Struthio camelus: one gene and its partner. The protein of the gene in region 1 binds, or shares a complex with, the protein of each later gene. Links are inferred from orthologs where the notes say so. Each region holds a gene or a part of one and is shown in the gene's direction. Other genes may lie near its edges.

The links. Proteins that work in one complex are often made in the same cells at the same time.
Region 2: CYFIP1 (region 1) and EIF4E share a complex: the UniProt entries of both Homo sapiens proteins name them as parts of the CYFIP1-EIF4E-FMR1 complex. The link is inferred for Struthio camelus from reciprocal best matches to the Homo sapiens genes CYFIP1 and EIF4E.

What each region holds. Positions count from the first base shown.
Region 1 is NC_090942.1:148,825,708-148,832,952, forward strand, and holds the start of CYFIP1 (cytoplasmic FMR1-interacting protein 1), read left to right. Parts: upstream 1-4,243; 5' UTR 4,244-4,258; coding exon 4,259-4,287; intron 4,288-4,527; exon of another isoform or gene 4,528-4,739; intron 4,740-4,981; exon of another isoform or gene 4,982-5,059; coding exon of another isoform or gene 5,060-5,073; intron 5,074-6,378; exon of another isoform or gene 6,379-6,520; intron 6,521-7,245. UniProt on the Homo sapiens protein: Component of the CYFIP1-EIF4E-FMR1 complex which binds to the mRNA cap and mediates translational repression. In the CYFIP1-EIF4E-FMR1 complex this subunit is an adapter between EIF4E and FMR1.
Region 2 is NC_090945.1:28,151,031-28,158,372, forward strand, and holds the start of EIF4E (eukaryotic translation initiation factor 4E), read left to right. Parts: upstream 1-4,335; 5' UTR 4,336-4,698; coding exon 4,699-4,716; intron 4,717-7,342. UniProt on the Homo sapiens protein: Acts in the cytoplasm to initiate and regulate protein synthesis and is required in the nucleus for export of a subset of mRNAs from the nucleus to the cytoplasm which promotes processes such as RNA capping, processing and splicing.

The sequences.
Region 1 (7,245 bases):
CGGCTGCTGCTTGGATGTTAGAACATGTGACCCTGAAACAGCAATAAAAATATTTGTGCATTAAAGCTAATAAGGGTGATAAAAGATGTATGTATTGATGCTACTTCCTGACAATGCATTGCTGGAGGGATGTAACTGTTTGGGGCAAGGCGGGCTATATCTTGCAATGCTAAATCCCTAATAGGGTGCTGTCTGCCTTGATAATGGCTTGTAGAGGATAGAAATTTAAAGAATGCTTTTAAAGACTGTACTGAACTCTGATGCAGTTGTAATGATGAGCTGCGTAACAAACATGCCATAGTCTTCTGTGCGGATTTCTTGCATGATCAAAATGCATATAATTTCTGATAGGGTCAAGGAGGGATTTGTACTCATTCATGCCTGTCAGGGAGTTGGGTGAGTGGGCTCTGGTGTGGTTGGCAGCTCAGCATGCAGGTTATTGGAAAGTGGAGCAGCGGGACATGGGCTCATTGTACAGACAGAGAGAGTTAAAGCCTTCAGAGTTGGCAGGGGGCAACAGAAGGTATTGAACAAAAGGATGGCATATGTTCTAGCATTGGAAAGCAGAACCAGGAAACTTATATCCGTTTGAAATGATGGCATGCAGCACTAGGAAGGAAATCAAAAGATAGCTGCACATCTCATCATGCACTGATGGGTGTTTACAAATGTGCAACATGCTTGCTATTGGCAGCTGTGCTACTGGTGACCTACGTGCTCTCAGGGTCAGAAATCTTTTCTTTTTGTGGGGTTAGAGATAGATGTGGGCAACCAGATCACTTTTTATTTGCATAAGGCCTTCTGAAGCAGAAAGCTCTTGGCTGTAGTCTGTTGTTGGAAGGAGTTACTAGTATTTGTCATAAGCTGGCTAGGCTTCCTGCCATGGGCAGGTTTTCACTTTCTGAGCTGTCTGCTCATTGAGACCTCTTTTAGACAGTTGCTGCTTGCTACTTGGTCTCTTCTGCTTAAACTCTCCACAACCTGTGCCCTGTACACATGTGTTTATCTCTTCTTGAGAGCTGCAACAAGTTTTCTTATAGGTAGTGTGGGAACGTGTAATGTTTTTGTGGTCTTGCTGTGCTTTAAACCATTGGCCGCGTCTGATACAAAATGAAGTCTGTGCTGACATCTTCAGCCAAAATCCTGTCCAGCCCTTCACAGCATGGACAGGTGACTGACACGTTGCCAGAGGTATGGCTTTTGTTTTTAACTAATTTATAGTTTTAACTATTTTCTTTGTTTGCAGCACTGCATGGTTTACAATTCTTGGGCTCACTGCAGCCCTAGCTGATCATGGCTTCATGAATGCCTTTCTGTACTGGATCATGGCAGTTTTACCTCCTGTGGTGTTTTACCTCCTTTATGAGGATGAGAAGATCTCTGTTGAATTAACAGGTAAAGTATCGATAAGCTTCATCACTAAAATATCTGAGTGGAAAGATGCGAAACCGAGACAGTACATAAGCATTTTACACATAGCAAACAGCTAGTGGCAGGGCCTTAAGATTCCTGTGGAAGCTCTTCTTTCATAGACTTTGCTAAATACTGTAAAGTGCAAATAAAGAAATCAAAATGGAATCGAAATAACTGGAATTCGGGAAACAGTCTTGTGGGTGTCTGTATCTACCGTAGATACCCCTGAACAGAGGCAGAGAATTGGATCAAGCTTGATACCACCGTATCATATGATATTCATCTGGTTTAGGTGTAGGGTACACAAATTGTCAACAGCATGATACGTTAGTGCTGTAGATCTCACTATAGATAACTGACAGGTATGGGCTCAAATACCAGGTTGAAATAAATATTTTACCACCCAGAAAGGGCTGTTGAGTTTCTAATTCTAGCTGTTGGCTTCATGAAAACGACAGCCATCTTCCAGTGGATAAAGGGTCAGTTAATGGCTTGGTCAGGATGTATAGAAACTTACATCTTTAACTAGGCGCGGAAGAGGTTCACATTCAATTAAGCAAGAGTGTGATTAAGAGCATTCAAAGTCAGGCCCAGAAGAAGGAAAATGTAACGGCAGAAATGGGTCATGGAGATCTCTATATCTTAGCTCCTTTAATCCAGTACTGTCATCCCATTATTTAAATTGCACAAAAGTGGAGTGAGCAGGGAGTTGTGGGGCATTTCAGAATTGAATCTGGCAGCTGAAATGCTGTGAAGACTCTTTCCAAATTAATTCTGAAAAGCATACCTTGCTGTTACGAGAGAACATACACATCCAGTTCTTGTAATGTGATTGTCCTCTAATCCCGATACCAAACAACCGAAAAGCAACACAAGTCTTGACTAGCTGCTTAATTACCATCAGTATTTTTAATCTGACCTTATGGGTAGCTATAAATTTTGAGTACAGGATTGTCCGAAAGGGTAGATTGCCCCAGTAGAGGGCAGTAGCTCCTACACCCACTCTGTTTCTTTAGCAGGAACATGGCAAGACCCTGAAGCATCGGGCGGTTGTACGAGAAGTTGTTATTGTTAGGGCAGTATGGTGCTGCTTGGCAGGGTCTGGCTTTTGTGCGAAGCAGCACTCCTGGCACCAGATGACTTTTTGTAAGCACGGAAGCTCCAGTGGCAGTCTTGCACAGGAGCACTAAGGAGAAACGCTGGTGGGGCCAAGCTGCTGCTGTTCAGATTTTCTGGCTCTGATTGGAGCAGCTCCTTGATTGGGCCTTGCAGAAATTTGGTGTGCTTCCAGCCTCCCTTGGGGCTCTGTTGTGGCTTGATAACTAAGGCCTTGCTGCTGATCTAGGCCAAGTGGTTGCATTAAGACAAGGCTGTTGTGAGTTTGCACTAATCCAGGACTAGCAAACATGCACGATCCTGTCTTACGAAGGCGAGTTAGTCTTCATGAGTTACTCTTCACTTTAGTAACTTGATTGCCCCAAGCGCTGTTTGTGGAAGAGAGCGTAAGAGGGATTGCACCTGGACAGTGTCAGCTGTCATTTTAGAAAGCTGAAGAATCCCGTTGTGGTAGCCTTTCCTAGTTTTCGCTTGACCTGGATTTAGAGGCTTGGATGATAAGGAACTGTGATAGATGGAATTTATTCATTTGATATATGTACTCAAAATATACTATTGTATGTGCACAAGCAGTCAGAGAAGAATAAGCAGCGACATCCTAGAAGAGAAACTGTTTCATATACCAATGGACAATATTGCAGCACTGGAAAAAATATGACTGTGAAGGTAAGTCTGCAATACGATGAAATAGTAACAACAACAACCTTTTGAAATGGTGTATAATTTCTCCCCAAGATGCTGAAATTCTTGATGGTGTGGAATGGATAGAATAGATGGATAAAACAGTACTTGAAGTCATGAGGATTAGTGTGTTTAGCAACTTATCTCCACTTCCCAAAGGCTTTCTTGTAGGTGCTTGTACAAAAAGGCTATTTAAGGAAACTTAAAACAGTGGAAATTTGAAAAAAACAAAGATCAAGGAAAGGAATAATTATTCTGTTCTCAGCACAAAAAGCATTAACAGCACAGTATCTCACCAGCAGCTCTTGAAAACAGAGATGAGAAAATCGCTTGCTGCAGCAAAACTGTGCAGGTTGCTAATGAGTAAGGGAGGATTTTCAAAAGCAGATAAAATGTGGGATGCAACTTGAAGTAGTGAAATACAAGAAAAGGGGCTTTGAGGAGATTTCCAAACAATTCTGTTTGTTCTATGTTCGGAACTGACTGTAATCCCTAGATATAGTAGAGAGGTGTGTTCTGTCTGCTGTAGGATAGTGGACAGAAAGACCAGTTTTGGTGACCAACTTGGGAAGAAATTTCTTTTTGTGGTACAGTGTCAAGTAGATGAATCTTAAAATTGGAGAAATAGGACAAAAACAGAGTGTGAAATGAAAACGTGCAACAGCTAAGTACTTTCTAAAGTAGACAAGCATATACACGCTACTGTTTTACAGAACAATGACATTTGGAGGTGGTTGAGAGCAAAACTGGCCTTTTTGCTTTTCTGCTTTCAGTTTCAATTAACAGTGGCATTCCAGGTAGGAGCAAGGCCCACGCGAGCACCACCTAGAGGTAGTATTTCCAAGGGTTTTCTCTTGAAACCCTTGTGGTTAAGACTAGCCTCGGATCCTTGATGCGGGGGCTCGTTCCCTCCCGTCAAGTGAGGAAAATGTCGCCGCGGCCCGCGACTTTCACGCTCGGCGGCGTCATGTCCCGGGCGTCCCTGTGGCGCCCCGCACCGTGCTGAACGGCCGCGGGCCGGCCGGGCGCAGCTTGGTCCCTCTGCGGAATGAGCCTCTCTGGGGCTGACGCGCAGCTGTGAGAGAGTCGTGCTCTGCTTGTGTCTGTATGGGTAGCTAACGTCTAAGGCTGCTTGCCTTATGTTGGGGGGTGGGGGGGGGGGAGAGCAGTCGCTCCTCGGCGGCCGCGGAGCCCCGGCAGCCGCCCGGCACCTGCAGCGCTGCGCGGGGAGGCGGCGGGAGGCGGGGCCCGGCCCGGGCGGGGAGGGAGCGGGGGGCGGCAGGTTTGGGATGGGGCGGCGGGAGGAGGAGCTGGAGCGGCAGGAAGGGTGTTTCCCTGCGTAGTTCCCAGCCGAAGTGACTCAGACAGGAAACTGCCAGCCAGGCGCGGCCGGGGGAGAGGAGCCGCCGGGCCGACGCGAGCCCCGGCGGCGGCGAGCCGAGCCGAGCCGAGCCCCCCCCCCCCACCCCCCTCCTCCAGCCCTCCGCCCCCGGCGGCGGGCGACCCTCGCGGGAGCCGCCGGCCAGCGGGTGAGCGGCGCTTGCCCGGCTCGGCGCGACGCGGGGGCTGCGGGGCGGGGGGGGGGGGGTCAGGCCTCCGCGGCTTGGGGCGCCGCTTCGCCTCCCGCCTCGCCCTGCGCCGTTCTCGGCGGCCGCGGGGCTCAGGCCGCGGCGCCCCGGGGGGCTGCGCGGGCCGGGCCGGGTTGGGTTGGGCCGCCCTGCCCTGCCCTGTGCCGGCCGCCAGCGCCGGGCGCCCGCGGGGCGGCAGGCGGGGGGTGGGCTCTGCGTGGAGCCGCCTCGGTGTTGTTGCCTGCCCGCGCCTGTCCGCAGAAACGTTTGGTTTTCTCCGGATGCTGAAATTTAAGTCAGTTCGTGCCGCAGGCTGCGTTGCGCGGTGCGCTTGTCTACGCGCGCGCGTGTGTGTAAATACATACATATATACGCGCAGCCCGAGCGAGGCCCGTCAGGTGCGGGCAAGCTGGGGCAGGTAGCTGGTGGCAGGGCGCGGGGGAGAAGATGCGGTGCCCTGCCGGGTAACTGCCAGCCTGCGGCGGGCGGGCGGGCGGGCGGGCTGCCGCTTCTGGGGTAGGCCAGAAAGCGTATGAATCCTCCCAGGTGATTAATTGGAGAGCGGTTTTAAGTGTGTCGCTTATGGGGGGAGGGGGGGTTTCGTTGTCCCCTCTCGCATGGAGTCCGTGTGTCTGTTTGCGGTGCTGGGATAGTTAGAGCTTTGCTTCCGATGCTGTCCGGTGTTGGGGAGCAGATGAGGTGGGAAATAGTAAGTCAGAAACGGCGTGCAAATCCATCCCCTCTTTCAGTTGAAAGAGATGATTGAGCATCTGTCTGAATTCCCAGAGTAGGATTTTGAGGAACTTGAGTTTTCTCTAATCAAGATAATTACGTTGTAGTGAGAGTTGCAGCGTCTGTTCATAATTCCCTACTAGGCATCGTGGTAACCGTGCACCTTCTGTATATGTCTACGATGTGCGAACGGATTCATGCCGAAATGGATTTCATATACTTCTCTAGTTCATCAGGAAGTCTGTTAATAGTTTTTACCTTTCTAGTTCTCATTGCCTTATTTTTTCTTCCTGTACCATCTGATGATAGGTGTGAGTAGTGTTTAGACATGCAAATTGTTATTTGTGTCAGGAAGACAGACTATATGGAGGAGGTAGTCTTTGAGGAATGTAGTGAATCAACCTGAAGTGGTTGCTGAAGCGCATACATTGGAGGGGAGAGGAAAGTTGTCCAGAAGAATTTCTCTTTAATTAGAAGGTCAGACAACACTTTACCATAAACTGCGGGAGATGTAAAGTTTAGACTCTCTAGTAAGCATCCCTAGTCCTTATTGCATTTCACTTACTTATTTGCCAAAGCTTTATTACAGCAAATTTACTGAAAACTCATGCGTTTAGTGTCATTGGTTAATGTATTTTTTTAGATGGGAACTTCTAATAATACCATGACGTACTTTCTTGATCTTTGTTTTATATTGGTATTAATTGCATGTTTACAAACTGTTTTATGCTCAGGCGGAGAATCTCTGAGCTCTGTGCTTGAACTTGTGTTCTTAGTCCTCACAGCGGTTGTTCTGTCTGGTTCTTGGATTTATCCAACTCCTACTTCTGCGCTTTTTAAAACTGCTTTTGTTTTTTTTTTAACACAGAGTTCCTCCTGACCTAATCTAAAAGGCTCTTTCAGCATTCGCAATTAACTTGCCTGTGAACTTTAGCTGGAATAGGCAGCCGTTATTTCCTTAGCTGCCAGGAAGGAGGAGGTATTTGGAACCAGCCTTTGGAAAACTTGGGGTACAGTATGAAACAGTAATGTTTCTTTGCAAAAGCAACTTGCTTGAATTTTTTTTTCTGTCAGGACAATGATGTGGTTGATAGAATACCTCAGTTGTATTTTGTGGTTTCCAGGTTGTTACGCCTAGATTATTGTTATTCTTATTTAGAAGGAAGAAAAAGCCTGGAGTCTTAAGAAAAACAAACAGACAAGGATCCTGTGCTGAAGATGAGTAAGACCTTGTGCATTTTGTTCGCTGACCTTGGGTCTGGTGAATTCCTGCTGAGGGTTATGATCACGAGAGAGAATAGAGAAGTAGTGTTTGAAATGCGTGGAGCAGAGTTAATGTAAAATTTCTGGGGTTTAAATATTGCAATATCTCCTAAGTGGATACTGCTACATAAATTGCAAAAAAATCTACGTTAAAAGAAAGTGAATGTTCCACAAACAGTCCATACTTTTCATTTCTTAACTCTTTGACTGACTTTAAAAAAACTTGTAGTTCTTTAGGGTACTTATGTATGTTTTGTTATGAACACCTTTGATTTTTTTTTTTTTTCCTTCAGTTTTCTCAGGGTGGAAATGTTCCCCCTGGCTTGAACCCACAAACTTTCTTGACCCACTATACAGTCCTTAAAATATAAGTAAAGAACGAGCAGATACCTATTCCAGCTGTGTGTTTTATATTGGAAGTTTGTCTGATATCCACCTTAGTTTAATGAATGCTTTGTTTATTCCTTCTGAG
Region 2 (7,342 bases), on another chromosome or scaffold:
AGAACTAAGAACCACATATTACGTAATAGGTAAATTAATGAAGAGCATGTCACAGAACAAAAAAATGCTCTGAATGTATGGACATACCTTCTGAAAGTGCAGATTTAATAGTTTATATTGTTATTTTGTCAGCATAACACGATTTAACGTTAGACAGCATAAGGAGAAGGGAAGGAACAAATACTTAATTTCTGTGGTATCACTGGGAAAATGTGTCCCAGTTCTTTTATTGTGAAATTGTTTTCAGTATTTATTTCTTTGAAACAGTAGTATAAAAGTTGAGGACCTTGAATATATTTTTGTTGTGTTTTTCTTTAAACAGGTAGGGTGGCTGATAAAACATTACTTCATTGAACGCTCTCCCTTTATTAAATAAATACCAAATTCTAACACTAAAATGAATTCCATAGCACAAAAAAAATACTGCAGAAAATTTGCTGTTCCAATACATTTTGGTTATAACCAGTGGCCATTCAGTGATCTACAAACAAATGTAGTGGAAAGCAGCTTTATTCATGTACCAGCATTCTTCCAGTATCAGTCTCACAAGATCACTGCCCCTATGGGATTTATTGTTTCATGCATTTTTGTCTCTGTTGTCTGGATTTCAGAGTAACAGGAAGTCCACCTTCCCGTAAAAAACAGTTTGTGTTTGGAAAAGCCGCTCTGTAAATCAAATCAAGTCCAATTAACCAACTTATTACTAGAAGTCAAATAATATCTGCATAGGTTAACATGACAGGCCTAAACAGGGAGATTATAGAGGAGTATAGTGAATAAGTACTGACCTGTTCCATAATTAACGAACCAACCCAATATTTGGTCTACTTTACTGATAGTGAAATTCTAAGGAAGATCAAGGAGGTCAGCAAGGGCGGGAAATACAAAAGTAACAGTAGTCTTCATTGCTTGTATGTAGCCTGTACAAGTGTTACATCTAGATGTATCACAGAGACTGGCCTTTTAGACATAAATAGTGCCTCTTTCATGGAACAACTAGTTAGAAAGTCCATGAGAAGACAGCCTTTGACTTCATCCTGAGTAGTAGTTGGGATCTGGTTTAAAAACTCATATATTTGGAGAGCCAGTCTCTGAGCAATGACCATAACATACTTTGATGCATTACAGGATCACCAACAGCCAAAAAATTCACCAAATTTTGACTCAAAGAGTGGAACTGTATAAAAATAAGGCAGTTTGTTAAAAAGGGACAAAAAGGTGCAGCTAAATAATTAAATCCTTACAGGCAGCATGGAAGCTATTTTAAGATACACCTATTAGAAACATAAGGTCTATACACACACTTGGATTATTAAGGAGGGCCCGAGAAGGGTGAAGTAATATTCAAATGAAACAAAGTAGAAACATAAATCCCTGCAGATTGAATATAAGAAAACAATAAGATTGTCCCCCCAAAAAAGAATCAAAACTAATAATAGATTTTTCTTTGATTCTCTCAGCAACAGGAAGCCTTCCAGAAGTCTGTTGGAGCAATTGATAACCGTAGTATTAACAGGAGTACTCAAAGAACACAAGGCCCTTGAAGAGAAGTTTAATAAATCATTTGAGTCAGTTTTCACTGTGGAAGAAACTGCAATCACCAGTGGATATCCTGCAAATTGAAGGGATTTTGGAAGAGAGAATGGAAGAAACTTGATAAAATGAACAGTAAGAAATCTTGAGGACCAGATAGTATTCACCCACAGTATTCAAGGAGGAAACTGAAATTGCTAGCAGGTGTGCATAACCACAGTTTTAAAGCTGCACCGATACCTGGTGTCTACAGGATACCAAATGTAATATCAACTTCTAGGAGGAGTCCCATGGAAGATAGGGGGCCTGACAGGCCAGGAAGCTTGCTCTCTCCTCTGCAGGTCAGTAGAAACTATGATAGGGAACAGAATCAGTAGACACCTAGATAAATATGATCTACTTGGAAGAGTCAACATGACTTTTATAGAGGGAAATTCTGCCTTACAAACTTACTAAATTCCCTGAAGAGTCAACGTGCATGTGGAAAAGAGTGAGATGGTTGATACAGTCTAGTTGGATTTCCAAGGGGTAACTCATATTCTTGGAGCAGATAAAGGAATGCATGCTTTTCCACTCCGCCAGCCACAGAACCCTATATAAAGTGTCTGGTACATTTTTTTCCCGGTCACCCATTGCTTCCCTAAACTGCTGTTTCTCTCGCCTCTTTCAAACATCCTCCATAAATACCGGAGGTAAATAAATTTCCATTAAGCCTTAGTACCGAAAAAGTGCATCTCAGTCACTCTGTCTCCTCCCTTAACTTCTTCTCAGGACTGTAATTTTTGATTTCCCTTCTGTTGTGAGATGAGCAATACCATCCTGGCTGGAAAAAGTGATTTCAAGGGACAGAGCTCTAAAAGGTTGATTTCTAGGGTGAACCACCATGCTTAACCATCCTTCTGTCCCTGTAGTTGTACCTCCATTTCTAGGTCACCCAGGAAAGGGGATGCTGCATGAATGCGCAACTCACTGTCAAAGCCTGAAAACACCCTACCTGCTACCTAGCTCTTTAGCAGATGAAAAGGAATGGATACTTGCAGATCTTACACCAGACTGTGTGTGACAGGAACATTTCAAAAGGAGAATGAAGTAAGTGCCTTTCTCTGGACAAATTGCCTCCGTGCTCAAAAGGAATTCGGCCGTTTCCCATGGGATAAACGTAGAGCTCAGTTGTATCACCATCCCTCTCATGCTGCTGTATCTCTCCTGTTCATCTGATGAGGTGTCACCTTGGCACATGAATAGCAGTCTAAAATATGAGCTCCACCGGTACTATCTGGGGATCTTATTTCTTAAAATAGTTCCATTTAATTTTTAGATCTGTCTTGTAAGATAGGAATGCTGTGGCCATTTAGGTATCTTTTAAAGCCTCCTGATTTCCTGCAGAACTAAAAAATCTGATCTGTGGTAGGTCTCATTTGGTGCTTGATGTCCTACACCCTGCTATTTCCACAGAGCAAAGCACTAGTTTCCTTCTCCCATGGCTGGATTAAATTTCTCAGCACTCGTAATTTATTTAATCAAGGGTCAAGGGGTGGGGGAAACGGAGCTGCTGCAACTCCTCTAATTATGGTCAGAAATATAATTCTAACTGGCAGTAGAATGGGACTGAGTCGGCTAAAACAGTGGAGGCAAGGTGCCTGGTGTTAAGACTTCTTGGTTTTAAAATGACAACCTTTCCAGCTGTGTCCTTTTTTCCTCTGACAGGACCCCACCACTCAAAATTCTGAGCAAATAGGAACAGACGAGATTGCAAAAATGCAATGCCCATCGGAGTAACGTGTTTGCGTCAATCTGAGAATCATGACTGATGTTGTCAAAATTGGACTTGGTTTTTCACATCGGCCAGCATGTGACCACCTGGCTTGAACAACAGACGTTTTGTTCCTTTTATGAATGAGAGGCACTCTATCAGCAAAACATGAATGGGCCCAGTTATATTCAATAAACTGAGTTTTTCTTAGCTTTTGTTTCCCTTTGAGGAGAAGAAATTTGATGCCATTGCAGTGAGTAGAAACTGATTCAAAAACTGACCTTGGGGAAGCAAAACACGAAGACTGTTGCATTTTGGATGCTGTAAAAATAGGATTTGAGGAACTCTTGATTAAATTCAATCAAATAATCAGTCTGGACCTCACAGTAAGAGCCCACAGTTTTCCTGTGTTGCGGGTATGATTTAATTGCATTGTTTATGGCACAATGAGAGACAACTTAATGGTGCACTTGAAATTTGCAGGGTTGTGGCCTTCCTCTTTTGCCATACAAAGCAAGTACAGAAGATGCCACTGGTAACTGGATTGCAGATCCTACTTAGTTGCCTATCTAAAGTAGAAAAATACAATCGCATCCCATTCTTCAATGTACTTGAAATGCTTTTGAGAATTTGTATGTTGTATCCTCAGGCCATCAGACACATATTGCAAGGTGCCCTTCAGAAATCCAGTAAAAATCCGTAGTTACTGCAGGAGAAAAACCTTGCCCCGAAACCCTTTGAAGTACACGTTGTGAATAACAGAAACCCAGCTAATCTCTGATTCCGGAAAAGCATTCAATGTTGCATTGCTGGTAGATTATTTCTGTAGGCGGGTGGAAGTTTTTATTTGCGATGCGGACACCTTTGCCAGCACCCCCCTCCCCCGCCCGGGTGAGGGGCAGGCCGAGCTGGCCCGGTAGAGCAGCGCTGTCCCACGCTACCTGCCGACCGCTGCCAAACGCTCGGCGCCGAGCCGGGGCGAGGCCACCGTTATTTTACAGACAGGGCTCGCGCGCCGCGGCCAACGGCCGCCCCCCGCGCCGCCCCGCAGCATCACGGGACGGCGCCGCGCGGCGCATTGTGCGCGCGGGCGGCGCCCCGCGCAGCGCCCCGGCGCGGCCGCTAGGGGTCAGCGCCCGCCTCTTCCTCCCCCATGTGACTGCGGCTCGCCGGCCAGAGGGAGGGCGAGCGGCTCCCGGCCTCCTCCGCGCTCGGCGCCTACAGCTCCCAGCAGGCGCCGCGTCCCGCGCGCCGCCCTCCCGGCGGCCCGAACGCCGGAGCCTCCCCTCCCCCGTCCCAAACGGCCGCCTGGCTCACGTGACCGCGGGCCAGCCAACCGGGTTTGAACCTGTTTTTTTTTTAATCCGCCCCTTCCCCTCCCCGCAGCGCTGGTGCGATCAGATCGATCTAAGATGGCGACTGTGGAACCGGTGAGTGTTTCATTCCCTTCTCCCGCCCGCCTTTCTCTCTCCTTCCTCCGCCTCCCCTTGCCCGCGCTGCGGCTCCCGCGGCCCCGGCGGGCGCGGCAGCGGGGAAGGGGGAGAGGGCGGGGGCGGGGGGGCGGCGCCGGGGCGATGGCGATGGCGATGGGGCCGGCGAGGAGCGCACGCACGGGGACGGGGCGGGGGGGAGGGGGAGAGGGAGACGAGGCGCGGCGCCGGCCTGCGCGGCGGGGAGGGAGGGAGGGAGGGAGGGATAGGCCGAGGCCCTGCGCGCGCGCGCCGCCCGCACCGTTGCGTCTGTGCCGTCACCGGCGCGTGGAAGAAACGAACCGACCGTTGGGGTGGGGTTGGGGGGTGAGGGGGGCAGGGCGGGCGGGCGCGCGGCCTGCGGGTAGCGGTGCTGGCTGCCGCCGTGGCGCCCATTGTGTCGCGGCGGGGGCGGCCCCGCGGCTCCCCGCCGGCTGTGACCTTGCCGCCCTCCCGAGGCGGGGGGGAGGGGGGGGGCGGAAGGTGAGGAGAGGAGGAGCAGCCAGCCCGGGCGGGCGGCGGCAGCAGCAGCGGCGGCGAACGGCCCCCGCGGAGCCTGGCGGGCGGCCCTCGGCCGCGCTCCGCTCATGTGGCGGGGTGGGGGTGGCCATGTTGCTTTCTGCCGCAAGGAGCCGGCGAGTTAGGACTTTTCCTGTCACTTCAGCGATCGCCCGTCCCTCGCCAGGATGCGTGCGTGCACCCTCACGGCCATGTAGGAGTAGCAAAGGTTCAGTTCCAAGGCTGCCGTAGTATTTCAAAGCTAGTGGTGAAAGATGCCTTGTGCTTAGGCGATACGCAGTCGCTAACCTGGGGTGGGGTGAGTGTCTCAAACTGAGTAGTTATGCTGCTCTAGATTTAGGCAACCGAAAAAGCGATGTTGCTGCTCAGATTCAAGATGTGATGCAAACACTATTCCCTTTTATCATCTGATGTCACCTTTCTGGTCTAAGATCGTATTTTTGTTGGAACTTTCTGTAGGCTAATTTCTGTAAAGTGTTTAATTATTAAACATTTTCTTCCCTCTCTGTGTGTGAAGTTGTGTTCATAAAACTACACAGTGTTTCATAATTACTGTCCCAACCTGCACTTCCCCTAAAGAATTGAAGCAGAGCTGGACACGGTCTGGTAACTGTCAATCTAATTGTACACATTCGTGTATCATGGGGAACAGAGTGTGGAAGACCTTGTGCTAGTGTTTGGAGAAAATGAGAGATTTAAGGATGGGTGACTTGTTCCTGCTTCTCACCTACAGTGCCTAAATAGCCAGTGCATGCTTTGGAGAGGCCTTTAGATAGAAATACTTAACTACAAGAATCAGTTTGCTGTTTTTAAATACAGACATCTTAGTTTGCCAGGGAGACAGTCTTAAGGGATGCTGGTCATACAGTTTTCTTTCCTGAACAACAAAAAAAAAACCTTTACTTACAAGAAAGACCAACGTTGGTCATCAGTTATGAATTCCTTGACTAGTGGTTCTGAAGTAGAAGAAAATCGATTGTTAGCGAGCTGGAGCACCAGCAGCAGCCTTCCCATGTTCTTCAGCCACAGTCTCAAACACTTATTTTTACTTCTGATAACTGATCTTTCCAAGCCTAAGCCCATGCTTTTGAAGGAGAGAGCTTCATGTCTCGTGTGTTTTGTGACTGTCATGGGGCTTGGCAGGTGTTGTGATAAGTTATTTGTAATATTGATAGCCACTAGAAATTGAAACAATACTAAAGGCATGTTTCTGTGGCTCTCTTGGCTGCAGTGCTGGCATACGCCTGTCCCCACACTGTTCTCTCCATTGTTTTTGCATGTTTGTGTGGTCGTATGTTGGGCTAGATCTGGGGCCTAATTTAGACAAAAATAAGCAGTTTATTTTGCTACACCATTTTCCAGTAGGATTAGTTCCCAAATCAGGTTTAACCTGGAGTGACGTATTTGTGCTGACCCAGTAAAAGTAGAAGACAAGGCAATGCTTAAGACAGTTTAACTGACCTGTTGTTGACAGTTCTGCCATAGATCAAACATGAAGGAAATATAAGCTATGCTTGGTTATTTTCAAATGTATTTAAATAATACCCTTTTTATGCTTTTACTCTTAGGTGGCTCACACTTCTAAGCTTAAATTTGAGCTTGCATAGTGGCTAAAATCATAGATGGCCGCTGTTGCAAAAATAGTGCATGATTTGGAGTTGAGTAGTTTAGTTGAATGTGTGGTTAGGAGTTTGATTACTTCGTGAACATATGGAAGCCTTTCTATTGCTGACCTTCAAAATCTGGACCTAGGTTTGAAGAAATGTGTCATACTTTAGTAAACATCTTACAGTAAGACTTACTTTGCAGTAAGTATTTTATGTAACTGAAAAGTAACCAGCTTCACTGGTTTTCATACTTAAAGGGAGAAATAAGCTAGGGAATGAAAGAACAGGGAAATGTGAGATAGCCCTCTTTGCCCTCAATGGTAAGTAGTAACTTTTGGTGTTGCTTCCCTAGTATGCAAATGTATCTTAGGCAACGCAGAAGGTTATGAATGTCTCTTTAAGCGGGATACTACTGAAATCAATGATTCTTCTAATACTTTCTTGTTTTAAATGTTGAGAGT